2 linked regions of the Oreochromis niloticus genome follow. The protein of the gene in region 1 interacts with the protein of each later gene in a biochemical or structural test. Links are inferred from orthologs where the notes say so. Each region holds a gene or a part of one and is shown on either strand. Other genes may lie near its edges.

Region 1 (16,351 bases):
TGAACTTGGATATCCACTTAATACAACCAGACACTCCCATAGCAATAAATAAACTACAGCTGACCTGTGTTTATCATCTGAGCTGTTTTCCTATTTGGACTGTGTCACTACTGACATTATGGAAACAATGGTACTGTATGTTCAGACACAGCCAAAGGTAGTTTTTGTCTCAGACACCGTTTTGTTTGCATGTGTATCTCTATATCTGATCACAGCAGAGATCTTTTGTTTATGTTTGTGTGTGTGTGTGTCTAATAATAGCTCATTGTGAGTGAGCGCCTGGTACTGTGTCTCGTTTGTTCCCTAAAGCTTTAAAAAGCCTCACACACACACACACACACACACACACACACACACACACACACAACCCCGTTTAGCTATCTTAGTGAGGACCCTCATTGACATATTGGTTTCCCTAGCCCCTTACCCTAACCCTAACCATTAAAAATGAATGCCTAACCCTAACCCTTACCCTAAACCTAACCATAACCTAATTGTAACCCTGACACTAAAACCATGTTTTGAGCCTCAAAAATGGCTTTAAATGCCTTCAAAAATGTGAGGACTGGGTTGTGTGTCCTCACAAGTGACTGCTGGTTCTCACAAGTATAGTAGAATGCAGATTTCGGTCCTCACAAAGATAGCTAGACAAGAACACACACACACACACACACACACGCTTTCCATCACGTCACAGGACGAAACATTGACTTATATTCATGTCCTAGAGATGTAACCATAACTAATAATACTTATCTAGCCGTAAATTAAGTCTTAATACATAATAAAAATTTGCATTATAAATCTTCTCAAGGCAAGATATACTGCACGTACACACTAACACAGTGCAGTACAGGAAACACACATGGGAGGGGAGACTTCACTTCAGTGTCTATGTGCTGTTGCTGATGATGTTTATATGTGTGGTCATAGTCCAAAAATTGTCTTGGCGAGCTACACCCAGTGAGTCGGACACCACCCTGTCGACAGGGGACTGAGCTGTTGTAGGGGCTAAAAAAAGCTCTAAATAAGTCAAACTGTTGACTTGTTGACAATGAAAGGGTCCTCAATTGTGCATGAGTAAAGGTAACTGAGTCATCCAGTCTTTATTAGTTGGTTAACAACGGAAAGAAGACCCTTTATTTCTTTCTCTTTTATCCAGGCTTTCTGAGAAATGTTTTTTGCTTGTGAAGTTACTTAACATTGACTTATGAATTATTCAAGCTTAAATTTCACCCAACTCAAGGGATGAACCAGTGTTGTGTCTACACATAACAGAGAACTTAGCAAGAAAACAATTTCAAATTGTATCTTGAGGTACTTTGAGCCGCATGTCGCAAAAGCACATGAACTATTCCCATTTTTTTTTGTTGAATCTAAACGATTATACGGTTTGATGGGATTAAAATAGGATTTTAGTGTGATAGACAGTATGGAGTGTGCCCTTAAAAAATGAGAAAACTGGAAAAGCAGAGGACAAAAGAAGAAGTGGCAGGTCTTAAAAACTATCTACAGCAGACACAATGTGTCTGAAAGACATTTCCTTAAGAAACAGGGAATGATTCAGCAAAGATCTGACGCAGGAGCTGAGCGATGCATGTGGCCCTTTAGCTGATCCATCTATGTTCACTGATGCCTCATCAGAAATGGTCATAATGGAAGGGTGGCAGACAAGAAATAATTCTTAAGAAAGGGAAACAGGAAGAAAAGGCTGGCGTATATGACGCTATACAGGAACTGAACTGAAAGTGGAATGATTTCCTTCAAGAAGCCTGGAAAACTGTTCCTGAAGACGATTTAAATATATTACAAGAAAGTCTGCCTAAGAGAGTTCAGGCTTGTTATATTTGTGTAAACTCTCCTTTTGCTTTATATACTGTATTTCCATCTATGTCTCCAGCTGTTTCAATAAATAATTGCACTTAATTCCCATTTTTCTAGTAAAATATAAAGAAATAAAGGGGGCTCAAGACTTATGCACATGACTATAAATTAGGTGTAAGATGTGTTTGAAATGATAAAATAGACATCATCAGCTCTTTTTCTCTTTCAGTGTATCTTCACAGCATTCTGAAAAACCACACGGCTCATGCTTGTGAAGGGGAAATTCTCATCATCAAGTGTCCCTCCAGGACGTCTGTGGCCATCCTATCAGCCTTCTATGGACGCCGTGTTCCCAGTCAGCATTTATGTCCTCCTGCAAGCACAAACACAACTGTGGAGGAGGACACAGAGTGCACTTCCTCAGTTGCTATCGAGGTATACATAGTAACACTGACATAAACTGTGAACTCACTGTATGATCTGCCTCAATCAAATGCTCTTATGGTTGACTCCTGTTGAAGATAACAGTGGTCCACATGTATTTCCCTGTGCTTGTAGAAAGTGCTGTCAGAGTGTCAGGATCGGCGGTCGTGCCACATTCCCGTCTTAAGTCCAGTGTTTGGCCAGGATCCCTGTCCCCTCACCACCAAGTACCTCCTAGTCTCCTACAAGTGCAGACCAGGTGCACTACTGAGCTGGACAGTCCAGTCACTTCACCACTAGTGAACACATGACTTTTAAATTTATGTTACCTAACTGACAAAGAAAGAGTCCATCACATAATTTAAAGTTGTGCAGAAAACTATCAATAAGAGGGACCTTGGCCTGAAAAAAAGAGCTGCACAATAAAGCTCTTAATTAAAAAAAATCTATTAGCATGTAAAGCTGGTAAATAAATGAACAAACTCTTTCATTTTTTCTATAATTAAGTAATCTTCTTTAACCCCCTAAGACCCGAACTCTTCCACGACATGCATTTTCAATTTCTCTTGGATATTTGGGCATATTGGGGTCCAATGAATGTAAAAACAAAGAATTCCCAGACTTTTTTTTTTTTTACCTTATTTTTGTTTTTAAGAAAAATGAGAGCCACAAATGAGGATATTCGTTTTAAAATTTGATAGAACAGTAGCAGTATAATGTCCTCATAATTGGATACCAGGCCCATGCAGAGCAAAATTGAGTATTTTGGTCTAAATAACGCAAAATGTGATGTCCACATATGTGGACGGCAGGTCCTAGGAGGTTAAATTATTATTTGTTTAAAATATCTTATTTATGTCTTTTGCTTGCTCACAGAAATGTATAACTTAATAAATATAACGGTAACTTAAAAAAGAGGAACTGAACTTAGTATCATTTATAGTTTCTGTAATATTCTTCCCCAGTCAGCCTCTGGTTTCAGGCCCGTTAAGCAAAACATAAAAAGGAACTTACATTTTTTGGGGATGTTTTCAAAAAATATGGGCAGTCACACATGAAACACAAAACTGTACATTGAAACATTTGCATTCCAAACTGAAGTGCATATAGTCTGAATTACATAAAATTAAGTGGGAGTCTTCTAAAATTGTGATTGTAGCTTTTAAACAAAGCCACACAATCAGTCCACTAGTGACTCTTATGGTCAACTTCATATGCACTTTGACATATATTGTAGCATTAAATTAACTCTTCTATAATAGGTTATGACTGGATTACCAATAATCAGCTTGAACAGGAGGAATAATAAATAAATAATAAATGTCTAAAATATAGTAACAGCCTTTTTAACGTGTTTCCCTTCCTTATTACTGGGTCAGGCTGGGGTCACGTCTTTGCTGGATTTTTCCCTATTTCTTAAGACATGTTGTTGTTGATAGCTCATAGATCAGTGTTAAGTAGCTTAAAAGACAAAAACAAACAAACAAAAGCAATCCTCTCAAAAAGGGTGGGTATAAGGACTGCTTAGAAAATGAGCGAAAAAGCAGCCAGTGTCTAAAGACCTTCAGAGAACCTGGAGAACTGCTCTAGACTACTTTGAAAAAAAAAGAAAACATGGCTTGAAAGCAAAATATAAAGAAATGCGGGGTAGCTTGAGTCAGCTCTCTAAACAGCTGTAAAACAAGGTTATAAACTTTTGAAATAATAACAATGAATGCTTTCAGACATCAGATTTTCTTAAAACAGCTACAGAAAGTTCTTGTCAACCTTTAGATGCTCTTCAAAGTGCTCTTTATGTCATTTCATCTGTTTTTCAGAGCACCACCGCACACGACTGGTGTGCGAAAATGAGCGTTTGAGGCTGATGTGTAAAAATGAGACTGTCATCGCGATCTACTCTGCCTCATTTGGACACCTGCTGCACGGCAGTCCTCACTGTCCTCAGGAACCTGGATCAAAGGCTGACATGGGTCTGCAACAGCAGGGGGCTCAAGTGCCATCTACTGGCAAAAAAGTGGAGCTAAAGTCCTGTATAGACATGATGGAGAATTACTACTGTACTGTATTTAATAATTCATATAAATATGAATTATTTATTCATATTCCTTAATTTATAGGTGCTCAGGTTTTAGAGAAACAGCTTTTTTAACAATAAAATGTTACTGTTGTCTTCTTCATTACAATCATTGGTTTCATTTATATTAAATTATTTCAGAGTGTTTGTCGCCTGCGGCCCTGAGGAAAGTGTCACGCAGGTGTCACAGCAGAGCAAACTGTTCACTAATAGCCGATACTCAAACCTTTGGGGACCCGTGCTTCCCCGGCACCAGGAAACACCTGCGGGTGTCCTTCACTTGTGGTAAGTGACAAATCTTCACCTACTCTTTTTTTGGCTTGGATGTAGATGCATAGTATATTTTCTGTATTTGCATACAGCTGCATATTGTGACATGTTTCATTTCCTCTTTAGTCCCCAGATATCTCCTAGAAGATGTGGGTCAAGGTCCAACAGATCCTTTCATGATCTCAGATTACACACACGGTGAGTGTGAAAACGAACGTTCACAGGTTTCATTGCATGCAGCAGACTTTGACTGGCTATTGAGCCCAGAACCCTCTCGCCTGCAGGTGGATGGTACACTGGCCCCACCTACAGGCCTCAAAATGTGTTCTTAACCAACTCTCTGGAGATCTTTGACAAAATACTGGGTATGTGTACTGATGCCTGTGGATGTCAGGCTACAGCCACATATATATCGCTCATGAGTGCTGTAGTCGAAGTGAAGTGTGGGTGTTCAAGCACGTTGGTGGACACAGTCGAGATACTGAGCTCCAAACTGACATGGAAAAATAAGAAGAGGTGTTGAATTAAATGAAATGTAGTGTTTTTAATTTGATTTAGAGTAACTGGAAGCCTTTATATACCATCTGTCTATTTTCTTAATTGCTTATCTAGCCTAGTGTTGCAGGGGCTAACATATATCTCAGCTGTTACAGATAGAGAGGTATGATACTGGACTGACATTCATATAGCACTTATGTACTCTTTACTGGCCACTTTAAACCACAATCCACATTTACTTTTTACTCTGCACACTTTATGCAATTCATCTACCTCACATCCACAGCCAATTTTCACTCACCACTTAACCTGACATGCATGTGTTTGTACTGCTGGAGGAAGCTGGAGAGAATCCACACAGGCACAGCAAGGACATGCAAATTCCACACAGGAAGGCTCCAGCCAGCCTCTGCTTATCAGTGTGCCAGCCACTTGTCTGTGCTGATAGGTTTTGTCTTTTCTGCAGTAATCTAAAATTTGCGTACATATTTCTGTATTATTTCCATTTTCCAAATCATATCATTAGTAGCATATTATCTTTAAAAAATATTTTTTCCTAATTTCAGTCTATTTATGTCCTTTCAGTTTATTATGACATGTTATATTCAACTTGGACATAGACAAAACAGTTATGTTTTTTTCCCCTTGGATCATACATTAACATGCTGGTGGAAAATCCAAATATTAGCCATTATGTACTCTAACATAAATAATCATATATGGTTTTTCCAGGAATGATCCTAATCCAAAGCCAATACTGTGTCTTTGTTTTTACAATACTGCACTGCCCAGGAAGATTTTTCAGCTAAATCAGTTTCGAACATTATTAATATGAATATAAAAAAATATAGATACAAATTATTTGGATATTTGAACTGAAATAGGAGCACTTGCAAATCGATTTTGATACATTACTCACATGAAATGAATTTAGTGGTTTCTTTGAAAGGTCACACCTTGCATTAATAGTGTTTTCTAAAGCAATTTGAGAAAGATGAGCTGAGTGGACACTTGTGGCTTATGCCGGCAAATTTTTAATTTCCTCACACATGTCTCTTCCAGGTCTCCCAGAACGAGTCGCTCTCTACTTTGTCTCAGGCATCTGCGCTGGTCTCGTGTTCCTGCTCTGCCTGTTTGGCGTTCGCTCCACACTTGTGAAAGACGTTAAAGATCTGGTTTCTGACCTGAATGATGAGCTGAAAGCATCTCGCAGACAACGCAAGGAGCTCATGGAAGACCTCTGCGAAGATGATGTCTCTGACACATCACCTTTCCGCCGCCTAACACAATCCTACCGGACAACTGACATCTTCAGTCCATCCACTTTAACAGTAGAGATGGTTGAGTGGGAGGAGGAACAATCTAGAGATCTGCCGAATGGAGACATTTGGCCACACAGAGACTCCAGCCCTTACGCTATTCACAAGATAAAAACTTACAACAACTGAGAGTAAAGTATCAGTATACTGCTTTAGAACAATAGTTGCTAACTGAAATCATGCTGAGATGGTGCTTTTACTATAAATTATGCATTTTACTATAACTTATGGACCTATTATGCTCATTTCCAGGTCCAAACTTTCATTCCTCTACTCTTCTAGAGGAGCTTTGCATGACTCAAAGTTCAAGATAATCCTTATTTATCTTGAGCTGGGTCCTTAGTTCATTCACAGCCTGAAACGAGCCATATGAACTCCTCTTCCTCCAAGCCAACTTTCTTCTGTTTGGGTGCCCCTCACAAACTCAAAGCTTAAGCATTAGATGGTTGGGTCCTAAGTGCCAGAGATGAACTAGGGAAGTCCCCAATTTTTGACATTAGGCAAAGCCAAGAGTAGAAAATAAAGTCTGAATTTGAGTGTTTAGAACAGCCTCATTATTTAAAACCAGTTTAATCTGAACACAAATCACAGTAATGAGGTATATGTGACAGAAAATAGGGGAAAGGATGATAGCTTCTCTTTAAATGTAACTGAACCTCCTAATCTGTCACAATGCATGATGACACTACTAAAATGCATAAAAACCTAATGGTGGTTGATTACAATCATAAAGGTTAATATCACATGTTTGTTGTTTCAATGAATTTCAAATGCAGCTGTGTTTTATGGAATAACAGTGGACGGTGCCACTGATTTAATTTGAATAATTTCAATGCATTTTTGCAGTTACATTATGGAAAAACAGTATTTTCAGTGCAGTGTGTGACTAATAAATCATTGGGTGAGTTAATTCCATTTTTAATGTTTCATTAAAACGTACAAAAATAAAGCTGCTCTTTTGCAGGGGAAACATTTCATATTATTGCTGAAAGATGGAGAATTAAATGTAGAACAGTGCAAAACCAAATCATCAAAAATAATTATATAAATTGAATAATTTTCAAATTTCTACTAACAATTATATTTTGATTCTTTGTTAAATTGTGTCCCTCTTTGAATTAATTAAAGTGATTATATCTGATTAACTGATAGAACTACAACACTGTGCAAAAGTCCTGACCCACCCTTTATTTCTTTATATTTTGCTTCCAAGGAGCTAGATGTTCTTATAATTTTTTTGGTCTAAGCAGTTGTTCTCCAGGCTTTCTGAAGGCCTTTCAAAGTTTTTCTTTTCACTTATTTTTATTCCAGCTCTTGTACCTGACCATCTTTAAAGGGATGTTTTTTGAGACATCATGAGAAATGTCTCAGTGTTGTTGATGGTCACAATTTATGAAGTCATGAATGCAATTGTACATGAATTGTACAAGTAGCCTGGAGAACTTTAAAAAGTTTTTATGATGAAAAAATTAGTCTGATATCAGATATTGATTAGTGGGTAGAGGGATTTAAAAGTCTGGATCCAGGAAATGGAAAAACATACTCAAAGTCTTTGCACAATTGCTCTCAGAAATACATCCACTGAGGAAAGAATCAGTGTTTAAACTGTGAGGACAGTTCAGCTGAAGTCATTATAATCATTAAAATCACAGTCTGAGATGAATGAAATGACTGTTAGTGAAACTGCTCTATCACAGCTATCACATGACATAGCGTGTGATGAAGACTGCTTAATTTGAAGGGGTCACAAGTCAAAGCGGATGAAACCTTGACTTGAGCTTATTATATAATACTACATACTGTAGTATATTCTAACTAGGCAGCTCATTTCTTTCTCTTTAAAAAATACTTTATTTAAAGATATAACACACCTTCAGTTGTTGTGAAATGTAAAACTGATCAGAGGGCAAATGTGACTGATTTTTGAATGCAAACTGTAATGTGATATTTATAATCACCATATACTTCTATCCTTTCCAATTTTGCCAGTACCAACACACAATTTTATGTAAATTTTTAAAGATAAAAGACAGTATAAGTTTTATCTTATTTGAACTGGAAAATGAGGTCCAATATTTAAAATCCCTATATTTCTATATGTTGTCAATTAAACCAATGGCATTAAGAAATATAGTTTTAAATAGTTCTATAGCAATATTACTTTGAGGTGCAGATCAGTCTATTTAACTTAGAGTTTGGAGGTCAAATTTGAATGGATTGTTTAGATGACCACACAATACACTCCAATAAATTTGATAAGAATTAATTTAATTTTTAAAAAACTATCGTGTTTACAGAAAGAAGGAAACGCGTAAAAACACTGCCAACCCCCCCAAAACACATAACCTCCTTGGTGGCGGTAATATTAAAAAAAAAAATGTAAAAGCGATTGTATTAGTTACACCTCATGCCTATTAATGTGGGACAAAACACCTTTCGGACATTTTTAATCCCCCAAAGAGGATGTGTGAAACTGGAAAGTAAATTATATGCAGATAATATTGTTTTACCACACGATGTCGCAGGGGTTTCTTTATATTTGTCAGGGCTGGGAGGCTTACTCACTTAGTATTGCACTCCGATGCAGAAGATGGCGTTATTAAGCTCATACTCGAAGCCAACTGCCGCAAAAAACCAGGATGATGAGTCCTTAAGCAGGGAGAGGAGCGGCAGGAGGAGGGAGTCCACCACATATCAAACTCTGTGCTGTAGCATATGCGGCTAAATCATAAAACTGCCAGCTAAAGCTATGTAGCCTGTGCAACCTGCTCTCTGGCATTCACGGGGACACGAGAAGAGCCGGGGTTTTCTTCTTTCTTTTTAAAGTTTCTAACTGTGATATTTTTAATACTATCCGGGAACAGCAGCAGCAGCAGCAGCAACAACAACAACAACATCATCAGCTGGCGTTTAGCATTAGCGGCCAAGCTTCCCGGAAGGAGGCCGCCGCAGCGCCGGGTGGAGGTTTAACTTTCCCTGCCCTGACGTCCGCACCGAAGTGATATAAACCCAAATGATAAACTGATATTTATTTCCTCTCGGTAAGAATGGATTCCTCTTTGGGGATATGCGGCGAGGAATGCTTGGCAATATCCTTTCTGAGTTCTGGTATTTTTGGGCTTGTTTTTTTTGGGGGTTTTAGCTTGTTAGCTAACGTTAGCTTTTAGTGAAGCCCATTAGGCAACGTTAGTAATTCAGTAATATGGAGATATTTAGTAACCGTGCACTTAAATAATCATGTTATAAAGTAGCTACAGCTCACTTTTAATCCAGTTCATTGCTAACCGCACAGATATATGACCAGTGTCATGCAATTAACGCTAATTAAAATCACTTGTACAGAATAACGTTAGCCATCCTTACACCTTTACACCCTTAAGCTAAAAGTATTACCTGCACTGGCACCAGCAAACCCAGCATCTGCAGTGCTTTGTCCCACCTCCTGCTCTTTTCTTTTATTACCTTAAGTTGCCCACCTTTTAACTGGCATGGCTTGTTCTAACCCTTCAGAGTATCTGTAGTGTAATCTCAGTTTACAAAGCCTGGGGTGACAGTCACTAGTTTCTCATTCTCAGTCACAATAATTCCTTGATTGTGCTGCTCACACTGTAAAATGCCTGGAGGTGAGGTCTGGCCAGAAGGAGCCCAGACTCCTGTCACTAATTGAACGCGGTGGAGAGTTTATGTAAGTATCAATGAACCAAATGACTGAAAAACAATGTGATTTTTGTCAAGCAGTAGATAAACCTATTGAGAATCATAAGTAGTGGTGATGAGTTGTTGAAACAATTTGAACACTCTTAGGCATTTACTGCAGCACCTAGTTTGTGAGAACTCGTAAAGCTGTGGTTTATAGCATATCTGAGGTGTCTGCGCTACTCTGGGTTTGTCTTTTATATTTCCTCCTATCTCTGACCCACAATTGCTGTGATATCGGTATGGTTCAAAATACACTCTGTTAGGTCAGAAAGGTGTGTGCCATGATAGCGTCACACTGAGTACTTGGCAGGATGATAGATAATTATATAGTTTAACTGGCCACTTGGTTAGGTACTAATAAGATGGCAGTAACTCAGTGCAGTAAGGCATGTAAATATGGTCAAGAAGCCCTGCTGAAGTTCAAACTGAGTATCAGAACACGAAAAAGAGGTTATTTATGTGACTTTTATTGTAGTGTGGTTGTTGGTGCCTGATGGGCTGGTCTGAGTATTTTAGAAACTGCTAATCTACTGGGATTTTCCAGCACAGTCATCTTTAGTGTTTACAATGTGTGGCCTGAAAAAGAGAAAATATCCAGTGAGCTGTAGTTCTGTGGGCAAAAGTGCCTTGTCAGAAGTCTGACTGGTCAGACTGCTTTTAGCTCATAGTCAGATATCCACTCATTACAACTAAGGTATGCAGAAGAGGATCTCTAAACACAGAGAGCTGAACATCATTTACACACCACAGCCTTCCTGCATATTGTTGCTGACCATGGCCACCCATTATGAACACAGTGTATCCATCTTCTAATGGCTGTTTCAGGCAGGATAGCAGACCATGTCACAAAACTCAGATCATCTCAAACTGGTTTATTTAACATGTCCGTGAGTTTCCTGGTAGTCAAATGGCAGGTCTCAATCCAATAGAGCACCTCTGGTATTTGTTGGAACAGGAGGGTTGCATCATGGATGTGAAGCTGCCATGTCTGCAGTAGCTGTGTGATACTGGCTCAAGAGTTGGGAGTTCGCCTTGTAATCGGAAGGTAATCGGAAGGTTGGCGGTTCGAGCCCCAGCTTGGACAGTCTCGGTCGTTGTGTCCTTGGGCAAGACACTTCACCCGTTGCCTACTGGTGGTGGTAAGAGGGCCCGGTGGCGCCAGTGTTCGGCAGCCTCGCCTCTGTCAGTGCGCCCCAGGGTGGCTGTGGCTACAATGTAGCTTGCCATCACCAGTGTGTGAATGGGTGTGTAAAGCGCTTTGGGGTCCTTAGGGACTAGTAAAGCGCTATACAAATACAGGCCATTTACCATTTTACCATTTACCATGCCAATATGGAGCAAAATTTTTCCAGCATCTTTTTGAGTCTATATATAAAGAATTAATGCCATTCTGAAGGCAAAACTGGGTCTAGCCAAATATTTGCAAGGTGCTCCTAGCAAAGGGCCTGTTGAGTGTAGTTGGATTATCTTTTTAGGGTGTTATCTAACCAATAGATCTTGCAATCAGAAAAGCAAAATGATGCATGGCTATGACAAATGATCTGAGAAGTGCTCTTCAGTGGGGCAGGAAGAAGTACAAAGAAAAATAATCCAGGAATAATTGATAGATTTTATGTGGTAAAGGTAATCATAAAAAATTACTATCTGTCTTCAGGTAAAAGATAAGATAAGACTTACTTACTTAAAAGTAGGGGAATTCCTATCTCAGGCTTTCTCATGGTTCATGATTTGATTTTACCTGAGAGAGTGCCTCAGTATGTTTCTGTTTCTATGTTTTCACTGTATAATATCTATCCAGATTTCCTGGATTTTGTTCTATGTAGATTTTATAGTTTCCTAGGCTAAATCTAAAAAAAAAAAAGCAAAATGAAAACTGCCAGAGAATCTGAAACAAATGCAACATAACATAGTCAGAAATTTTTAGTGGCAGATGTCATGCAGCCCAGCTAAAAGACTGAATGCTGCGTTTTTAGTGACTTTATGGAGCTCTTCCTCTGAGTTCAGAAGGACACTTATAAGGACGATGCTGCCTGTGGGGCTGTGGTGATATGGTTGAGTGTTCCAGTCCCTTCAGCTGATGTAAACTTGCTCCACACATACCACACCACTTCCTAGTTAGAGTTTACTCAACAACTTGTGCGTAACACTTAGTTTGTGTACTTTTTACACCCCCTAGCATTTGTTCGGGTTATGTTGTGACAGTGGGGGTTATTTTAAATTGTCACTGTGGCTTGGGTTGTTAAGCTTTTCTTTGCACCAGCAGGCAGCTCACTGCAGATTATCCAGAATTCCTTTGCTTCCTAGGCTGTAATGAGACTCACATGAACACACAAGCTACATGCTCAACTAAATCTATTAAAAAACACACTAAACTAAGAAGTAGTCCTTACAGGGAGAAATGACTAGATAAGCAGATTCTGTGTCAGCTTTAATCTCTTAAATCTTTCATCAAAGTCCCCCCCAGACACCACGTATTCGGGTTTTTAAAATTATTGGCTCAAGAAACTTGAATTTAAATGGTCACCAGGACATAAAGTTTGCATATATCAGATTTCCAGTCGCATCTAATAATAAATGCTTAAAATATTTGCTGATATAGATATTAATCAATATTAATTTTTAGGCATTTTCTTGGCATTAAAGAAAGCCGTACTTAATTTTTTTTAGATTTTATTGAGGAAACTATTTGGTGAGGACCTCTGTCTTAGCCAGTTCACTGTTTTCATTTATAATACTAAGGAATCGTGTATTTGCACAGTTTAGTGTTTTCTATAGTCTCATCTATAGTAGAGGTGCTACACCCAGAGTGATTAAGGTTGTTTTTAAAGATTTTAGACATCCAAAATTGGTTATATAGAAATGGAAACTAGAAAGTCTGATAAATACGTTTGACAAATGTGAGCATCATAAGGGCCGCCACATATTTTATTCGTTGTTCTGTGTTGTATGGTCATTGTAGTATTTTTTTATATTCCCCTGAGGGGTTTTCGATTTTCTCAGTTGTTGATTGTGTAATTTTCAATATCAGACGTTGATTCTGGTCAACTCCGAGTTCCTCTGACACGTTTTTTTCTCGCATGGCTGAATCATTTTCCTCTCACTATATGCAATTTGACTTAGTGTGAAGTGGAGGGGAAGCGTGGGCAGTTTCCTGAGCGCAGTGTTGGCCCCGATTGTTAGTCAGCAATTGTTAGAAAGGAAAAAATGAGCCTGCCTACATCAACCCACATCACAGACTTGAAGCTGATTAAGCTGAATGTTTATTGACGCAAAGCTTGTGCGGCTCCAGTGGACTTTCGCAAGCAAAACCCGAAGGACATACAATGCTTGTTTGTTAATCTTTAACTGCAGATAGACATACGTTTTGCATGTGTGCATGTGTTTGTTTTAATCACTTGATAGTTATAGTCCACCACTAATCTACCAGCATTGCATCTCAGATGTTGAGTTTAATATTTCCATACTGAATGTTGCATGAAACTTGCTGCTAATTGCAAAAGAATGGCTGTTATAAGAGGGTTATATTGCTGCAGGTTGTCTGTATGTTTCTTGTGTTTTAGTTTGATTTACTTCTAAGCTTATGTGATATTAAGCACCACAGAGCTGATTTTAAGTGGGAGTTTGTACTGTTTTGATCCAGACTGGGTGTTTTAGCCAACCCTGATGCTGTTGTGTCTCGTCCAGTGGCTCAGCTATCGATACCCATCAATGCTAAGTTTGAAATTGTACGAGGTATGTGACCCTTTTGTTATTCTCTATTTCACTCTTGTTTTAAATCCTGAGTATAATCAGTCAGGATACGTTTGTGTATTTTTCTGTAAGCTCTCTCCGTCACACCTCACTTTCTTTGACCTCTATTCCATGTGAAGTTAATGTTTAGTCAATGTCACAGCACCAAAAGTAAAAGTGAAAGGAGCTTTTCCATTGCACCTAATGAGAAAATGTAAAGACTTCCCACACAGTGTCGCAGTATGTTAAGCAGTGGCCAACAGTAAGAACCTGTAGAAATACTTGTAACAGGACTACTAAGTTTCCCTCTGCAGACTATTTGAATGGCACTATTTAAGCTCTCCTTTTTTCCTTTCAGAAGCTGAAGAAGCTCTTCTTATTGATTTGTCAGTAGATCGTAAGTAGTTTTTTTTCTTTTTCTCTTCTGATATATGAGTTTTGAGTCAATATCATGTGTAAAAGATCTTATAAAAAGGTGTTGGAAGCCAGGCTTTCAGAGGTGAATCATGACATTAATTACAACACAACACCTGTCTAGCTTTACTGCATTGTTAGAGCATGCCTGCAGCTTAATGTCTTTATTTAGTAGTATACTCAGGTCATGAGTTGCCAGGGTTTTCTGAAAGAATGCTTAATTGGTTCACTTCTAAATCAATTTGTTTTGTTTGCAGAACAGTTTGCATTACTAAGGAGTTTCAAAGTCTAAGGATGTGTGCTTTCTGTTTCCTGTTCAAGCTTCCGTTAAAGTACGAATCAAAGGAGAAAAAGCCCCAGAGCTGCTGTTGGAACTGCAGGATGATGATCGGACTCAGACTTTCCTTACCCAGGTGAAGAGTGCTCAACTAGCAGGTAAGACTCGACTGTTTCACTCATCTAAAGCAGTGGGATAGTTAATTATTTAATGACTCATCTAACATTTATTACAAAGGGTGGATTACAGCTCTTGCTCGTTTCCTGTGTATTCTTGCTGCTGACATACAGGTGGAAAGACTCCTTGGCCTCAGTTTTTGAAATCAGATCCACCTCCATGGGTGCAAGCCCACTTCTTTGAATGTAGCCATAAAGCACAAAAAAACTTTGTTTGTTTATTGTGATTTCACTCTTAGATTTACGTTTTAGCCTTATAAGCTGTGGCCAAATTTCCCACACTTTCTGTTATCAGAAATTGGTGTTCAGATATACTTATAATGTATAAAGGTCTTAAATGCTATAAGCCTTTGTTATGTTGGGAGCATGAGGGGATTATATTAAATGGTGATCATGCATTGCTTTTGCTTTGGTCTGCACCTCACTGTGAGTGCTGAAAGAAGTAATAAAGTAATCTTATCCACACCCATCCGTAGTTTATCTTCATTTTATCTGGATATCTTAACTGGAGAGAAGAGCTACTAGGAAGCTGGATGTATAGAAGTCTAATTCACATGCCGTTGTTGAACTCCTGGCAGCCTTTTGGCTAAGAACACTGGGATAATTGTATTCAGTTACATGACCTAATCTGTACACGTAAGTCCAGGGTGGAGACGTGTAAAGCACTGCAGGATGTGTGTGTTTGTTTTATTTAAAATCATAAACAGTCAAAGTGTATTATATTTGAAGCTGTGAAGTCTTTTTACGTATAAGTAACCAGTCAGCTGCCTATAAAACAAATCTTTGTATTTGTTTTTTTCCCCTCTTACTTGTTTCTGAGGTTCGTGATTATATCTGTTCCACATAGATTATAGATGTCATGCATTTGTAGCTGACAGGTTTTTGTAGAACACACTCTTAGAAAAACCCAGCATGTGCACTTGCATCCAAAAATACAAAGACAAGGAAATGGTCTTGCATGCCTTGAGTGGTTTGTATTATAGTGTGACATAAATGTAAAAGAAGATTTGTTATTTCCTTAATTTATATACTAAGTAAATTAAAAAACGGTCTAATTTACATGGATTTTTCCTAATTGCTTTTGTGTGTAAACCGTGGCTTTAAAAGTCTTTTGCTTTTCCTTTTGCCTGTTTTTCAAAAATGCAGTAGAGACACAAGAGTTAATGTGCTGGAAAATGTAGTCCAGCTGGCCAAGAGTTTAACCCGTACACACCCTAACTAAACATCCTCCCTGGCTTTTGAATCAGCCTTTTGGTTACGAGCTCATTGACCAACATCTTGCTGTGACAAATATTTTGAAGCAGGATGGTGGTGGCACTCTGAGGAGCTGTTATTTCTCAGAACCTGTTCATCCAGTTTACTGTCATTTACTGGTTAATGCTCATAATATCCTTCAGTAAAGCAAGTACCAGAAACCCTTTCCATATTGCTCTTGTCATAAGGCGCATGTTCATGTGATGACGTTTCTCTTGTGATTTCCGTTCGTCTTAACAGGATGTTAAATGTGGTGTTTCTGCCTCTGTTTCCAAGACCACATCTCTTTTTGTTTTACACCTGATTATATTACGCAGTTTTGTTTTTTTTTTTTAAATTTTAAGTTGCTTATCTTGTAGAAATAATAATGACCAAATTTTGCTTATGATCCTCT
Region 2 (15,904 bases), on another chromosome or scaffold:
CCATTTTATGCCTGTCAAAGGGTGTTATCTCTGCAATCTTTCATAAATTCAACTAAAAATGTTAACAAAAGATGTGTATTTGTGACAGGCTGCTAGTAACAAAATGTCTACAGATACAATTTAAAATTGTTTATTTGCTAAGTTGTCTGTAATGTGAAGGCAACACTTAAAAAGGGACTTTTTACACTTGAATGTTTCATAGGTCAGTGGCTCAACAAACAAAGTCAGTCCACTGAAAATAGTCAGGGACAAGAATGTATAAAATGTACAGAAATAAGGTGGCGACTCCACACCTTTGCACAGTATTGTGTGAGTTTACTGCACATATATTGTTGAAGGAAATGATACAATAAAAGAAGACTTATAATTGGAAGCACAGTGAATAATAACACAACTTCTTTATCACTAAACATAAAGAGAAAGCTCATGTTGCTGCTTTGGTACAAATAAGTCCTTTGAAGTGATGCCACAGACCTCTAATAACACAGGTGTCAAAATTATTTTAGTTCATAGGCCACATATACATTTATATTTTAGTTTGGTCTCAAGTCTGTCAGGCAATAAAACAAAAATAGAAGAAGTTTCTGACAACGACCACATTTTAACGAGCTATTCATTGATGAAGCGCCTCAGAGTTCAGTCTGCTGTCAGTACAAAGAACCCCAGTGGTTGTAAATTTAAGAAATGCACAGGTCCTTGGCTTAACCACCTTAACTTCATTGTGGTATGGCAGGACGTGGGTAGAGTCTTTGTAAATAATAAGGATGTAAATGACAATGATTCAGATCTCTGCCCGGATTAAACTAACAGTTGGCCTGTTTCACTCTTAAAGACTTGCAGCACAATGCTTCGCACTTCTTGTCTGCAGTTTTCTCACTGTGAAAATCCCTCAAGTTTGGACCCCTTTGAAGGTAAATTATTTCCATTGTCAGATTTGTTTGTTAACTCAGTCTAACAGTGTCTGTAGAAACTTTTCTTTTTAACATATTTGTAACAAAAGAGATGAAAAAAAGAAGCCCACCTGATGTCTCCTAAATCATTCTTATTCCCTGCTATAGCTACAACAATGTCTTCTGGACCGTGTTCCTTCAGCTCCTTCACCCATTTCTTCAGCGTCTGGAACGAATCCTGGACAACAAGAAGACATTGGGGTCAATCCTGGGATAGATTGTTTATGAGAATATGCCCAGCAGTTTTTTTCCAACTCCTGTCATATATTCATTGCTTTTTTTTTTTTCCAGACGAGTTTCCATTAACAAACCAGGAAAGAATGACATTTGTAGGTCATGAAACACAGCATCCCAGAGTGATGGAAAAGTAGCAAAATTCTTCACTTACAAATGTTCAGGACAGCTGTTACTGATGTTTTTCATTTTTACGAAGGAGCTAACAGCCATGACAGTTTAACCAGTTTCGCAATAGTAAACTTCCTGTTACACTTACCAGTTTAGTAATGTCATAGACAATGACAGCAGCAGCCGATCCTCTGTAGTACATAGGGGCTAACGAGTGAAACTAAAAAAAGACGACACATTTATATTAGTTAGCATGATTGATTTCATTTTTTTTGTATATCACACATAAATATGATCCAAAGTGCTCAGTCTATGATTAATAAGGGGGAAAAAAAAGCTTATAAAATACAGGCAGGGTACTATGCCCATACATTCTTACATGATGAGTTTATGGAAACAATTACTTCCTCAAGTCCCCAGGCCTTTTTAACTTTTAGCAGTTACCTTCACTTCGACTTGACAAACTGTGGTAGCTTGTAAAGAAATGCTGAATGTAAAAATCACCTCACTAAATGTCAGCCTACTGCAGATAAACGATGAGTGAACGCGCCGGCTAAAAATGTGCCAACACGTGCCAAACTTTGAGATCATTTATGAACAGTGAATCCAAAAAGGAATGTCGATTTAAGAATAAATATCACACTCAGGTTGTATTTTTTTTACATTTCCTATACCAATGTATGGCATCTCAAAATTGTTTCTATTTTGTACTGAAGTTAGTGTTGGTTTCTCTTATCAGTCAAAACCGGCACCATTCCCTTCAGCAACTATCAATGTGTATTATCATCAGTACAACTATATATCCATTGCCAGTGATAAGAGAAGATACACTTCATCTCAAAGTTGCAGCAGTTTAGTTAACTCAACAATCATACAAAAAAAGTCAATTGGTGGAAATCGTATGTATTTTAATAAAGTAGACAATGTGTGGCCAATTAAATAAGAAATTTAAAAACATTATCAGTGCCTTCAAATAACATATTCCAGTGGTTCTCAAACTGTGGTCATCACTTAAAGACCAGATATCCCACCTGCTGTGAATGTTTTAATGCAGTACATTTGTTATTATTATCACTTGTCACATCCTGTTTATGACAGTTAAAATAAATAACATTTATATAAGAAATAAAATTGTCTCATGTAAACTATATGGTATTAAATAGGCGTATACTATTTTACTTTAATGTCAGTCATAAGGGTGGTATTCTAAGAGCCATATATTTTATGAGGTGGTACTCATTTTGAAAAGTTTGAGAAACACTGACATATTCAGTTACATTTGGTATCTAAATGGTATCCCAAAAATGTCAGGTAGGGGAAGTGTGTGTTTAAACAAGCAGACTAAAAAGACTGCTTAAAATGGTGTTTGAATGATAATAAATGTAGAATAAAATATTATGGCATGTTTTTTAAATTATATTAATTACTCAGACGTCACAGGTTTAATCAGCAAGCCCACAGTCATGATGATAACACTACACTACAGTGACATCAATATTTCAAGAGTGTCCACAGTTGTATTGTTCACAGATGTTTACCATCAGCATCACTGATCACACAAGATCAGTCAGTCAAATGTATTAGGAGACACTCACAGCAGAAGTCCCAGCATAATTTTTTCACACATAAGCAGAAAATGCTCGCATTAGTTTTTTCCATGCAGTAAGCAGGTTTGGCAAGCTTCAGCTATACCCCATCTCCCTCTCTTAGCCATCAAATTAATCACCGTGATGTCTCATGACCTTTGAACTCTTGTGTCAAGCATCCTGTTTCATACCCTATAAATATCTACCTATCACGAGTACCAGCTTTCTGATGCAAAGTTTAATGGAAAATCAACATCACATGTGTTAACTTAAAGCTAACAGCGAGTCCATGAGGAGTTTCTGTTGCGTACACTCACCCGTTCCTGACCAGCTGTATCCCAGATCAGAAATTTGTGTAGCTCATTTCCACATGGCACTGTCTTGGTCAGGAATGACGCTCTGCGGATGATTTAAAGCATTTCACAACAGCTATTGTTTTTTAGGTCACTCTTTAAAAGCAAAGGGAAAAAAATCTGTGCATGTCAGCAGGAAAGTAAGAACACTGAAAACAAGTATGTTTGGTACAGCATGTTTGTTGCTATAGAGGCATGTAACAAAAAAAGGAAAAACATAGTCACAACAGTGGGTTTAAAGACTGGTATAGATGGCAAAAGCTGAAGTTACAGGTAATAATCAGTTTATTTTAGTGTTTATTGCACCAAGTACTAAAAAAAAAACTATCATTTTTATAAAATTCTATAATCTTTTTGTCTAAAAGTGTTACTCCAAAGTGGGTTTTTTCATGTCAGATGCAATGACCTAGTAAAATCAAGGTTTTTTTTCTCAGGCTTACAGAAGTTGTAATTTGTGCATTAGAGCTTGCAAACACTTAACTAAAATTTGTACTTTAAAAATGTAATTACATCACATATTTGTAATGAAATGAAAATGCCTTATGAGAATTATTGGAGTTGTGGGGCTGAAACAGGATGACTCCCAGGTGGGTTTGTCTTTATTTCAGTTGCTAAAGTTTGTTTAGAATAAGCTATGTGTTACCTGCTGAGGTTTTCCTTACAGGAAGGAGACCTTTTGGCTGAGCTGTGCATGTTCTACATTGTCTAGGAGGTTATGACTATCACCAATCAGCCCAATTTTAGTGTGGACTAAAGAAATACTAAATAGTAATAAAACGGCTGTTAAGTTTTAACAGTGTGGTAATAGTGGCTTGTGCAATTCCTTTAAAATCTATGTATTCAGTTAAGATAAAAGACCCAAGGGAAGGAAGGTACATTCAGTTTTATCTCTTGAGTAATCAGTTCTTCTATCATTAGGTTTAACTTCTGTAGTTTATAGACAGTTCATAGGATTATCAATCTACCCATTAGTACAAATGATGTGGCTTGAGCTTGCGCATAGTTTCATTCAGCCAGATTACTGATTAACTGGCTGAATCTCCCTGTACATTTCTGAACATCTTTACTTCAGCTTTGTTTCCAAACACAATTGATTAGTTTCCTGCTGCTGAAGCCTTCTCCTGGTTAACACTCACCCTATGGTTGGACTTATGTTGTGATCGAAATGATCCTGGACAAATCGGCAAACAATGCTGGATTTCCCAACTCCAGTGTCCTGCAAACAGAATCAGTCACAGGACATGCACACACAGAGGGCGGTCACTATTGAACCTAGTGGATTATGCAACCGTAGCAAATACAAAAGTATGCAACAGCAGTATTTAAGTCATTAAAATGATAACGTGAAATTATCCAGTAATACACGGTGTATGATTCTGTGTAACACGAACTTTCACTTTAGATATCTTAAATATATTTTGATGGTAAAACTTTTGTACTATAATCACTTTTACTTATATAAAGGGTCTTCACAATGACTACTTCACCTGCATTCTTACTAACGGCCAGCAGGGGGCAACTCTTGTGGTTGCAAAAGGTTCCAGTTGTAGTCAGCATCTTTCATGCTAACTCCAGGTGAGCGCAACAATCTCCTAGCCACCAAAGCAATAACAAAGAGGCTTTTGTGCACAGCATCCTCTTTGCGACTGATTTCACCTACTGTAGCAACAGCCAAGCGACCTCTGGGAACTACTCACCAACCACTCTGGGAATACACATTTTTCCTTGCAAACAGTGGCTATATCATATCCAACATCATCCGAGATAATACTGGTATACATTTTTTTACTGATATCACACACTCACTTCCTATTTACAGAAAGTATTGAATAAAATATTGACTCCATTTAGTAAGTTGACTTTTTCAGAATATACTAATTGCTCAACACAATCACAAGGCTTTAGCCAATGAGCATGTGGTTCACAGAGAGAGCCACTTCTTATTAGTGTTGCGCAATACTGCAGATTTTAAGTAAATACAGGGCCAGTATCGCTGTTACCAATACCAATACTTTTAACTTATAACATCAACTTATGTAGAGAAGAGTGGTGTGTCATGACTTATGAGATGAATCACTATCAATTTGCAAATTCTGAATACATTTTATTAACCACAGTAATTAGATAACACAACAAAACACACATTTCAGCTTTTTGTGTATCTTGAAACTGTGTTTTTTGGAGACCTGGAACGTAATGCCTTTTTGCCCCACTAGTACCTACTGGGCTCAGCATGGCTCAACTCAATTCGGTTTTTAGGTGGTACTCAGTTGTAACTGAAAACAGCTGAAACTGAGTAGAGTTGAGTCAAATTGGTACTAGTGGAAAAGAGGCACAAGTGTGCCTGTCTCAAAAAGACTTCTGTTGTTTAAATGGGTTATAGAGAATAAATAAAATAGACATAAAAGTCTGTTTTATCCTTTCCCCCCAAAAATCATTTAATACAGTTCAATGGACTACATAATGAATTTAGATCATAGAAACTAAGAATCAATTCTATCGCACTAGTATCGATACCAAAACCGGTGCTGGTATCGATACTACCAATATCTGGATAGACACCCCCCCCACCACCTCTCAATTGTCACCTCTGGTTCCAAAAGACCAACATGTCAACAGTAATAATGCTCAACTCATTGTAACTACATTAATCTTTGAGTCTGTCTAATTTAAACTCTCATGCAGTGCCACTTTTCATGTAACACATCTGATGTAGAAAATAGGACCCCCCACCCACCCACCGACTTCCTAGTCTCCAAATGTGGCACCCCATTTTTTTAATTGTATAAACACCCCTGTATGGTTTTATGTGACTTTAAATCTGCATAAAATCTGCTCCTCCCGCTTGTTATAAGCATGCAGAGGTGTAACAAAAGATGGGTAAGGTCAGCATATGGTTGGTTAGGCTGACTCAAAAAAATATTTTAGTGAGGATGTCAGGGCCCTGAGGAGGTATGCGGGGGCCTAAAAACCTTATGAGGCTCTGAAAAGTTCCCAGCTCCCGACTTCAACATCGTCGAAAAAGCGGCAGTTTGCGGTCCAAAGCGCTCTCGCCGTCCCTGTCACCGTTTATAAAGACAGACTGACGTGTTTCGCTAACGCAGCAAGAAATCTAACGGCTCGCTGGCTCCAATGATGACGTAATGGCTGATAAACTGTCAGAGCCGTTATAAAGTAAAGATTTAGCTTAATCTATTAAGAACTACAAAAAACATGCGAGAGGACATACTCAAAATGACTGCCGGCCGATGAGGTTGGTTTTAAGCCAACTACTAGCTACCAATATTAGTTAAATACCCAACTTATTTCATGAAGACGACAAAGAAGAGTTCTTTTAAATAAAATACCGGAACTGACAAAGTACCGACTCTACCATTAAGTTGTAAACGAGCAGCTGTTAACATCAACATGTTGTCGGCTTTTGCAGTTTCGCAGCAGACTAAAGGAATTTGCCCCAAAACGGATCAACAAAAAACATCAACCACTTACCCCTAAAAGGCAAACCTTGAGCTCCCTTATAGCCATGGTAAGTTTTGGAAAGTTTTTAAATCATCATTTGTCAGTGTACACTCAATGTATTTGTTTCTTCATGCTTGAAACTCTATTATTTTCCCCTCTTCTTGGATAAAATAGAAACCCAGCCCCTGATACAGACAGACATCTCCACTAAGCGGCTGACAAGGCGCATAAAATAAATTTACAACATCCGGGAGTGACTTTCAAAATAAAGGTATCTTACAGCCGTTTTGGCACAAATGATGCGAAAAGGTTGCAACAAACAACTTCGTTTGCAATTTTAACTCTGCCTGTCAGTTACATGTTTATATTTTGAAATAAGAGATTAAAGATTTTAGACATATTTTTACCCTGAAAAACAGTGTTCTTTAGTTAAGAATAGATAAAAGTGCATACAATGGTCTTTAGTTCAATGAAAGTATAACAGGACTGTGAAATGTCAGTCTGCTCTTAACATATTTTTGCAATTAACTAATTTAACCAAAGACAATGAAGACTGTGACAATGATGTTTTTATTTCAAAAATAAAAGACTAAAGTAGGATCAGCATCACACAGCCGGCTGTGCCCTGGCAGCCAAAAATGAGTGGGCTCCAGCCCAGTAATGGCTACCAGGTTTGGGTGGGTTTTTGGTATGTGGACTTGGGCCAGTTTGGACTGCGAATTGGCAGAATAAATGCACGCACACTGTATTAGGACTGAAAAACTGACCAAGGTTGGTAGTCTGACTTTTGACAAGATAAAGACCTGGTTCACTTTCAGCATCCAAACTACTACCATACTTGGGCCAAGTTATTTCTTATAAACGAACTTGATTTTGGCCATTAAGGTGCCAAACCTGGCCAATTTTACAAAATCACGAAACATTTAAGAAAGCTGGGGAGGGCACCAAGGAAAACTGACAGTAACCACAGAGCCACAAGCTATGCAGGTTTCTGTGGTATATGATAGAAATGACCACAAATAAAAGAAAATATAACAATTAAAACTGAATAAGCAACTTATAAGGCAATTCTCAGTCATTTACTTGTGATTTTATTGTTTTTCATAGAGGAATGACTGTGACACAGTAATTGTAAATGTTTCAAGAAATGTGTGGTTAAAAAAGAAAACGAACACCAGGTAAGATAACAGATAACTCATGAAGATTGACTATATCTGGCATTTAGATAGAATACTGTAGGTTTCCTTCACATGCTGAATACCAAACCAGTACCATGCAAACTGGGGCTACAATTTACATGCGCTCACCAGTAATTGATGATTAATGCAAAAACGTTCTGTTCTGGTGGTTTTTGATTTCTGCTGCAACATATGGATAGCAGGGTCAGTATCTGCCATAAACAGCATAAAAGCATGGATCCATCCCACCTTCTATCAACAATTTAAGCTGCTGCTGCTGCTGTTGTAATAATGAGGGGAATATTTTCTTGGCACACGCTGGGCGAAGTGAGAATCTTTGTAACCACAACCTAACCGAGTATTGTTGCTGACATGTTCATATCCTTATAGACATCCCTTTTTTTGTTCACTGTACTCAAATGTCCCCAAAAATCTCAAAAGTCACCAGATCTCTATTCCATAGAGCACCTTTCAGATGTGGTGGAACAGGAGACTCAGCCAACCAATCAACAGTAATTGTGTGATGCTGTCATTATCTTTATGGTTACACTTTTCCAGCACCTTGTTCAATCTGTGCCATGAAGATATAAGAATGAAGCCAAATCTAAAGGAACAAAAATGTTACAACCTTGTAATAACAAGTTGTACCTAATAAAATGCCCAGTGAAGGTATGTATAGCTCTATGGTTAGTATTAATTGTATATCTATAAAGCCAACATTCCCTGAAATGCAGTAGACTATGTAAATCTACTCTTTTATATTACAACCATTGCTTTCCTCCAAGAGAAAATGGTCATCATGTTATGTGAATTCAAGTCGAGCTTTAATTTTGAAAAGACAGTTCCTAACATCCGTTGTTCTCTTAGTTGTTTTAGTCCTACTTGATAAACCTAGTTTCCAAATCGGAAACCAGTTAAAGCCTTAACCAAAAAAAAACATATTTAAAAAAAAAGCTGGGTGGTTCCACTATCTCTTGAGTAATTTGTTTTCAGAGTCAAAGTCCACCTTTCTATTCTCTCAGAGATGCTCAGGTTTGTATTTAGGCAGATACTGTGTAATGGAAAAATATGGAATACATGTCCAGCCAGACATAGTTGAGTGAAAAGGTAAACTTCAGGAAAAGACACAGTGAGATAATTATTTTAGACTGACACTTTATTCTTCACAGCATTTCTGTCTGTAACAATCAGCTACAAAAGCTCAGAACAATATGAAAATAACCTCACGAGAAGCTTCTGAGCCTGTTCTAGCAGTTTCATGGAATCAGGAACTCCAGATGAGATTGCATGGATTTGCCTGTGACCAAAGCAGGGCAGTCACAGTAGCGTAACTCCATACAGGTTATTAATGGTAAAAAAAGAAAAGAAAACAGCAACAAGAAGACAAAACACGAAGAGCTGAAAATACAGTATGTTTGCAATTTTACAATAATATACAGAAAACGTAAGTCAGGACACATCTCTGCCTTAAATAGTATCGAACAATGACGTTACCTTGCAGCAGACACGGATCAGCTGTGAAATGAAAGGATTGAAGAAAACCTCCACACATGAAGATACAAAACAAAGCGAGCCTCCTGCGTGTCTCCACCCATATAGGAGGCAAAAAATAAATCATCAGCACAGACTTGTTACATCCTCATTAAACTGAACAAATATGATCTCCCGCTCTTCCTCATTAGTGCAGCGCAGGCAAAGGTAACTGAGACAATGACTGCACTACGGAGCAAAGTGTGGCCTCCAGCTGTTTGTCTGCATTTTGCAGCGATGAATACACATTTGTTATTTGGCTGTTCGTGTTTTCATCCACTGGTTAGTTGCGAGGTGCAACACTTCTCTTTATGAATCTGCTGTTCAAAAAAAGAAAAAGAACAAGACCCTCTACAATATATTTATTTGTATATTCATATATTACTAAAAAGCTGCAACTTAAATTTAATGTACTTCTTGAATAGTCATCTGTTTACTTCAGAATACTACTTAAATATATAATATATAGATAGACCGATCATAAATTCTTCATCATTCAAAAAACTTTTGTTATCAGTGGTTCTCTGGGGCATCCTCAAGTTATGGCACAGTGGTCTCTATCCAAAAGAAAAAATCAAATTTGCATCAAGTTAAGGGACGAATCTGAGCGACAGGGACTGATGACATGTGGTCTAGTGATCGCTTCCTGACTCGCTCAACAGTGAGAAATAATCTGCAATCTACCCTCTCTTACTCTCATTGCCTTCATTTCCCCTTCCTGCCCCTTCCTTCCTCCTTCATACAGGCTTGGCACTGCATATTTGAAAACATGGTCCCTGCTAGTCTCTTACAGTGGTAGTCAGTTGTCCGCTACACCAGCTAAACCTAGCATTTGTTTGTTTTTTCAGGGTGGTTTGTTTTTGCATGAGGATGTGAAAAAGAAGGTTAGGACACCAAAGACGATATAAAAGGTTTTTCCTTGTCTGCCACTTGGTGGACACGGTAACTAATGAGCTCTGCAATGTGAAATCTCCTGCAGGATAGCGAGCAACGCTACAGGACAACTGACCCACGGTAGAGACGAACACCAGCACAGACGACCACCAAAAGCATCACAGAGGTCTCACATGTTGGTGTCTCTCTTGTCTTTGCTTGGTGAAGGCTTTGATGGATCCTTAGCCGCCTTTCCGTTGGTTGTGGCAGCAGCTGCATCGGCGGTAGGAGCCACGGCAGCAACGGAGCGCTTGGTTTGCTCCTCGCCGCGGGCCTCCGGGCTCGGCTGCGTGGGTGGAGCCTGCTCGGCTGGCGGCTGGACGGTCAGCTCCTGCTGTAGCTTGTGGCTCTGCAGGAGGCGAAGCTGAACGCGGAGCTCCAAGATGGCCTCCTGCTCCTCGTGGATGGCCTGGTTCAGGTGAGTGTTTTTGTTCTTCAAGGCAACAAAGTACACATTCAGAATTAGATCCTGTAAAACTCCAGCCAATACTTTCATTATTTTATTACCAGAAACAAAAGCGTGCTGAGCTTTTGGTATATGAATAACCACAGTTTTGTCAAACACTGCAAAACCACCGCAACAGGTAGTGGAGGCTGGATGCTTTCTCACCTCTAGTTCCTCGTTTTGCTTCTGCAGATCTTCTAGTATCATCTGCAGCTCTTCCTCATCCTCGCTTTCACTTTCGCTGTCTGATGAATACTCCTCTGTCTCACTGCGACCCTGCTGCCGACTGCGAAGGAACACAACGCTGGCTTACTGCTAGGATCTAATGTCGTGTTTTAGTGTTAAATTGGTTTCATGGTCCTGTAAACTTGTCCGACTGAGTACACTGTCTTAAATCAACTTAAAGCATGACTTAAAGGGACTGCCGAATGTTGACTGGTTCACAGGTGAGCTGGAATAGAGCAGGGAGGGATACTGGAGTTCACTGGGAATGGGAGAACCGCAGAGAAAAACTTCAAAGATCAAAATACAGAGTATTAAAAGCACAGGCAGTGGCTGCAGTGGACACTTTTCATTGCTTTTAACACTCGGTTTCACTTCAGCTCTTTGTGTGTTATCACTTTGCTTTCCTCTGTGACTGGCTGATGGACCGACAACAGCACAAGTAAGAGTGGCCCATAGACCCATGTGGCCATACACCTGTTGGGCCGCTTACTTGTATAATGCCTCTATCTGGCAACAGAGCTCACTCCAGGCAGACGGACCATCCCTGGACTGGAGTGGACAGCGAATGCACCATTTCTGCTCGACCATAAAACCAGAGGGAAAATATCACGTTTATCTCTCAAAAAGGCTCAAATGTCATCAGGGGTATTGCTGCTAATGAGGAGACATTCACAGGGGTTCAAACAATGCAATGGTACCAGTGTTGTCCTGAAAACAGCCCAATATGGTCCTTCACACACAGATCAAAGGACACAACAAGACATCCACTGAGGGATCTGAAATCAGCAGTCACACTGAAAATGATCTAAAGATCCACAAGAAAATGTACCCGACTGGGAGACTGACCACTTTTACATCAGGTATAGATTATAAATTTTACACTTCCAACACTGGAACTCTTTGTTCACACCTCATATTTAACCACTGTCCTCTTTTACCTCTGTATGTCTGCAATCTCTGCCCGCAGCCTCTCGATTTCCTCCTTCTCAGTAGCAATCTGTCTACGCAGCACCTGCTCAAGAGAGATCAGCTCCTCCTGCTCCGTCAGGATCTCATTCTCCTGATTATCGAGAGAACGAGAAGACATTTAAAGGTTTTCTTGGCAAGCTGCTGATCGATGTGTTTGTATGAATTACTCACCTGTGCTAAAAGGAGGTTGATGACTTCCTCTTCATTCTCAGTCATTTCCTCCTTAGAAACGTCTTCCTTTGACAGGCTTGCTATCTCCTGGGCTATTTTACTTTCACACTCCTAAAGCCCCACAGAGAGCAGACACATACAGCATAGTTGGTCAATTCATCTGCATTTGCCTTTTTGTTGTTACTGTGTAGGGCCACATTAGAGTTTATTAAGGACTCCCAGCTCAATTTAATACAGACTAAAGAATCAATCCTGCTGCTGTTTCCTACCTTAATGAAGGTTATAATTTTTATACATCTCAGAAGAGGTGGAAATTCAAACCCTCACTGGTATTACTGGGTGGATGAACAGCTATTGTATCCAGAGAAACATAAATACTGATATAGACAGATTACCTGACGTTTGGCCTCCCTCAGTTTCCGTTTCAGGGCGGTCAGGATTCTCTGAACCTCCCAGAGCCGCTCCTCTTTGGACAAGTCCTTCACCCCTGCCTGCAGGTCCCGGTGCAGGCAGTTCAGGAGGAACTCCTACACACAAATACCTTCATAAATATTGGCTGAAATTTACTTGATGACAACAATCAGCTCAAGACAAGTAGAGGAGCCAAACACATTTAATAAAGTAGTCAATATGAGAACAAAAAAGTCAAAGTATTAAGTAGCAAAATAAACCATATAATCTTTTTAAAAAGGGCGGTCTGAGATTCATGCATAACCACTTATGAATGACAGAATTAAAGTTAGTTGGATAGTTAACATGATTTGAGCGTTATAGGACAAAAAAAAATCTACAATAACTTTTCCGTATATTCTAAGTTAGGTGATCTAGGAGGGATTGAGATGTGTGCGCCTCCTCTGGGATGTTTTATTGTTTTGGAAATCCAGGCCACGAAGGAACATTTTGTAAGGTTAAAGAAACAGCTTCACCCGAGAGACTGGGGTTCAAATCGACTAAACCATCTGAAGCTGACGTGTTTTCTATTTTCTTTTATATACAGGTGACAGAAACTAACTAATATTCTGAATCCCACTGAGTCCTGGCACACTGAGAACAAACCCAAGATAAAGATGCGTACTGCTGACAAGACACTTTAATATAAATAGAAAAGGCCTGCTTTGCTGAATTAGAGCTGCATTACTATGTACTATGTTGTAACATTTTAAAATCTGCTTCAAGGGAAAATCATCATCGGCTTATATTAAAAAAATCATTTCCTTTTGCAGTAGATATTAAGATATGAAGCAAAAAAAGAAACTTTTTTTTTTTTAACAAACTCATTTGTTCAAACACTAAAATAGACAGTCATTAGTTGCCACAGGACCGAACCCACCTGCCGTCTGATCTCTTCTTTGATGCTCTCCTGGGTCTCAGGCAGAGCCGGCATCGTCGCCATGTTGGACCAGCGGAGTGGCCGCACCACTGGCTTCAAGACTACATCCCCAAACAGCTCCTTCACGTGGGTGAAGAAAATGTAAAGGACACGATTCCCAATCTGGAAAGGAGGCACACGGATCACCAGAGGGAAACGAGCACAAAGCTGAATTGTATCTGCACCAGTTCCTCCACAATACAAATTCCTGCATGTTTATTTAGCCTGATTAAACTGGCCCTGGACTCCGCTCATTAATTGGGAGAAGTGTTTATTTAACAGTGTTGTGGCGGCTGCTGCTGCTGGTTCAGAATAAGTGGAGCAGCAACAGAGATGTCCCCTATGGGAATAAATTAGCTTCACTAAACTGGGCCAGGGTTTCAGAGATGAACTGACTCTTTGATCCAATAAAAATTCACTGGTTTGTTGCTAGGGGGAGGGTTGGGGTTTTTTTGGGCTATATCTGAGCCTGAGCCAAAGCTCCACATTGTTATTTGATGTTTAGTTTGCCTGTTGCTGGAAAATTGATGTTCTCTGCACCAGCTCATGATCTTCTTGCATATTTCTTCCCTTTCCCATGTAACGGTGCATTTGCATTTTCACTGATTGATCTCCTTCCCGCTGACCTGTATGGTGGGGTTAAGTACGATGGAGATATTCTGAATATTCATCTTCGTCTCTGCCTCCCTGGCAATGACGTGGTCCATGTGCGTGACGAGCCAGGAGAGGAGCAGTCGGCTCTCCGGCGGAACTTCGGTCAGCAGCCTCTGGAACTCCGTCACCTTTTCGGCCTCAACCTGCCGACCACAAGCATCCTCGAACCGCTGGGCCAAGTCTCGACCAAGTATGTTTTCGGGCAGCTCGCGGAGGTACTGCTTCAGCAGGCTGGCAACCGTGTGAGGGTCATACTCCTCCAGGCATGGGCACTCCTCTCGGTCATACGCAGCTTTTAGTTCATCTACTTTGGACTTCATACCTGAAAGGAAAAAAGAGCCAATGTGAGTAATCAGAGATGTTTTAGTTTGTTTAAAAAAAAATATGGTAAAATCAAAATGTTTGATACCTGAAACCCGGTAGATGCCCTCACACTTCATCCCATAATTTTCAATGTAGTCCACACACTCTCTAAAGATTGCTGGTAGCTGGATGCCATCATACAGAGCTGTCCTCTTGATAGCTTCAGCCAGCGGGGCTCCAAAGATGGGCCTGAAGGTGGGGGTCTCCACTGGGACCGGTTCTGCCTCTGTGGTTGGTTTCTTCTTCTTCTTCTTCTCCTTCCACTGTTTCACCACATCTGCAGCTGTCAGGTCCTTTGACTTCTTATCCTTGGCTTTGTCCTCTTTAGGACCCTTCTCTTTCACCTTAAAATCCTTTTCTTTCTTCTTGGAGAAGCTCGGCTTCTTGAACACGTGGATTCCTTTGGAGCGCTTCATTTTGGACGGGCTCTCTGCTTCATCTGCCGAGCTGTCCTCCTGGAAGGCGGCGTATCCTTCCGCTGTGAAAGTAAATAAAGAGTAGAAGAGGCAGAAACCAGGTTAGATCTAAAGGGAGTAGCACCTCTATTTTCTAATCTCCGTCCTATAACCGAACTATGATAGCAGTGAAACAGAAACAGGAAGAGAGACGGGTGAGAGAGAGAAGATAGCAGAGGAGGGGGAGAACGAGGACTAGGAAAAGAGGTCAGCCACTGATTTAGCATAGCTCCCACTGCACCTTACAACGCTCCTCTCCAGAACAGCTCACTTTAAGCTTTTTTTAAAGTGATAGCGAGGGGCCCCTTGTCACTTTCAACCTCCTAAACTCTACGCTGGGTTTCCCCAAGAATGGGCTCTGCGTATCACACCGCTGCCTGAGACACACCTTCGCTGGGTTCAGTGGGTGTGTGCTGAATCTGTCCATCTCTTCCTCTCTCCCACCATATCCTGGTGTAGGAGCTAAATCCAGGCATGGAAAAGTCATGACACAAAGTGGACGACGGTGAAAAACATCCCCAGCAGAGGAACATTTCTCACCACTGCAGCCATCAGGATGGAAACGTGGGAGGAGCTCGCCTCATTAGTACTGATGTGATCTTTAGCTCCCTCGGTAGCTCCCAGTTGTTAAAATACAAGGTTTGAAATATTCTACATTTTTCTCCTTGTTGACGAATAACACAGCCATGTGCCGCCCTCCAAAACGTATATTAAAAAAAAAGTTGGAATGTTTTTGAAAATGTAATCTAATCATTGGCTCAATTAAACTAGATTATAGGGTTTGTAGTCATTTCTATTATGTAAAACCTGTGCTGCTGAGCCTGTGAGAACAACATCTGACAGCTTTTTATTACCAGACCTCATTTCCTGGTTGTTTGGAAATGGTTGCAAAGCTATAAAATCATGCTTATTTCATAAA

What was found.
Region 2: the proteins of ocrl (region 1) and rab31 form a complex in vitro, tested with the Homo sapiens proteins (2 studies listed by BioGRID and IntAct, with this or other methods). The link is inferred for Oreochromis niloticus from reciprocal best matches to the Homo sapiens genes OCRL and RAB31.

The regions. Positions count from the first base shown.
Region 1 is NC_031966.2:18,617,888-18,634,238, forward strand, and holds the start of ocrl (inositol polyphosphate 5-phosphatase OCRL), read left to right. Parts: upstream 1-9,073; 5' UTR 9,074-9,455; coding exon 9,456-9,497; intron 9,498-10,013; coding exon 10,014-10,093; intron 10,094-13,747; coding exon 13,748-13,839; intron 13,840-14,194; coding exon 14,195-14,233; intron 14,234-14,571; coding exon 14,572-14,685; intron 14,686-16,351. Other genes in the region: si:ch73-335m24.2 (protein eva-1 homolog C), read left to right, coding at 2,054-2,259, 2,383-2,506, 4,065-4,217, 4,463-4,606, 4,718-4,789, 4,876-4,956, 6,152-6,537. UniProt on the Homo sapiens protein: Catalyzes the hydrolysis of the 5-position phosphate of phosphatidylinositol 4,5-bisphosphate (PtdIns(4,5)P2) and phosphatidylinositol-3,4,5-bisphosphate (PtdIns(3,4,5)P3), with the greatest catalytic activity towards PtdIns(4,5)P2.
Region 2 is NC_031982.2:24,681,554-24,697,457, forward strand, and holds the start of rab31 (ras-related protein Rab-31), read right to left. Parts: upstream 6,863-15,904; 5' UTR 6,760-6,862; coding exon 6,724-6,759; exon of another isoform or gene 6,662-6,723; intron 6,488-6,661; exon of another isoform or gene 4,461-6,487; intron 4,451-4,460; coding exon 4,371-4,450; intron 3,281-4,370; coding exon 3,199-3,280; intron 1,516-3,198; coding exon 1,444-1,515; intron 1,129-1,443; coding exon 1,022-1,128; intron 1-1,021. Other genes in the region: ralbp1 (ralA-binding protein 1), read right to left, coding at 10,465-10,767, 10,945-11,065, 11,943-12,064, 12,145-12,255, 12,540-12,671, 13,475-13,636, 14,140-14,489, 14,577-15,008. UniProt on the Homo sapiens protein: The small GTPases Rab are key regulators of intracellular membrane trafficking, from the formation of transport vesicles to their fusion with membranes.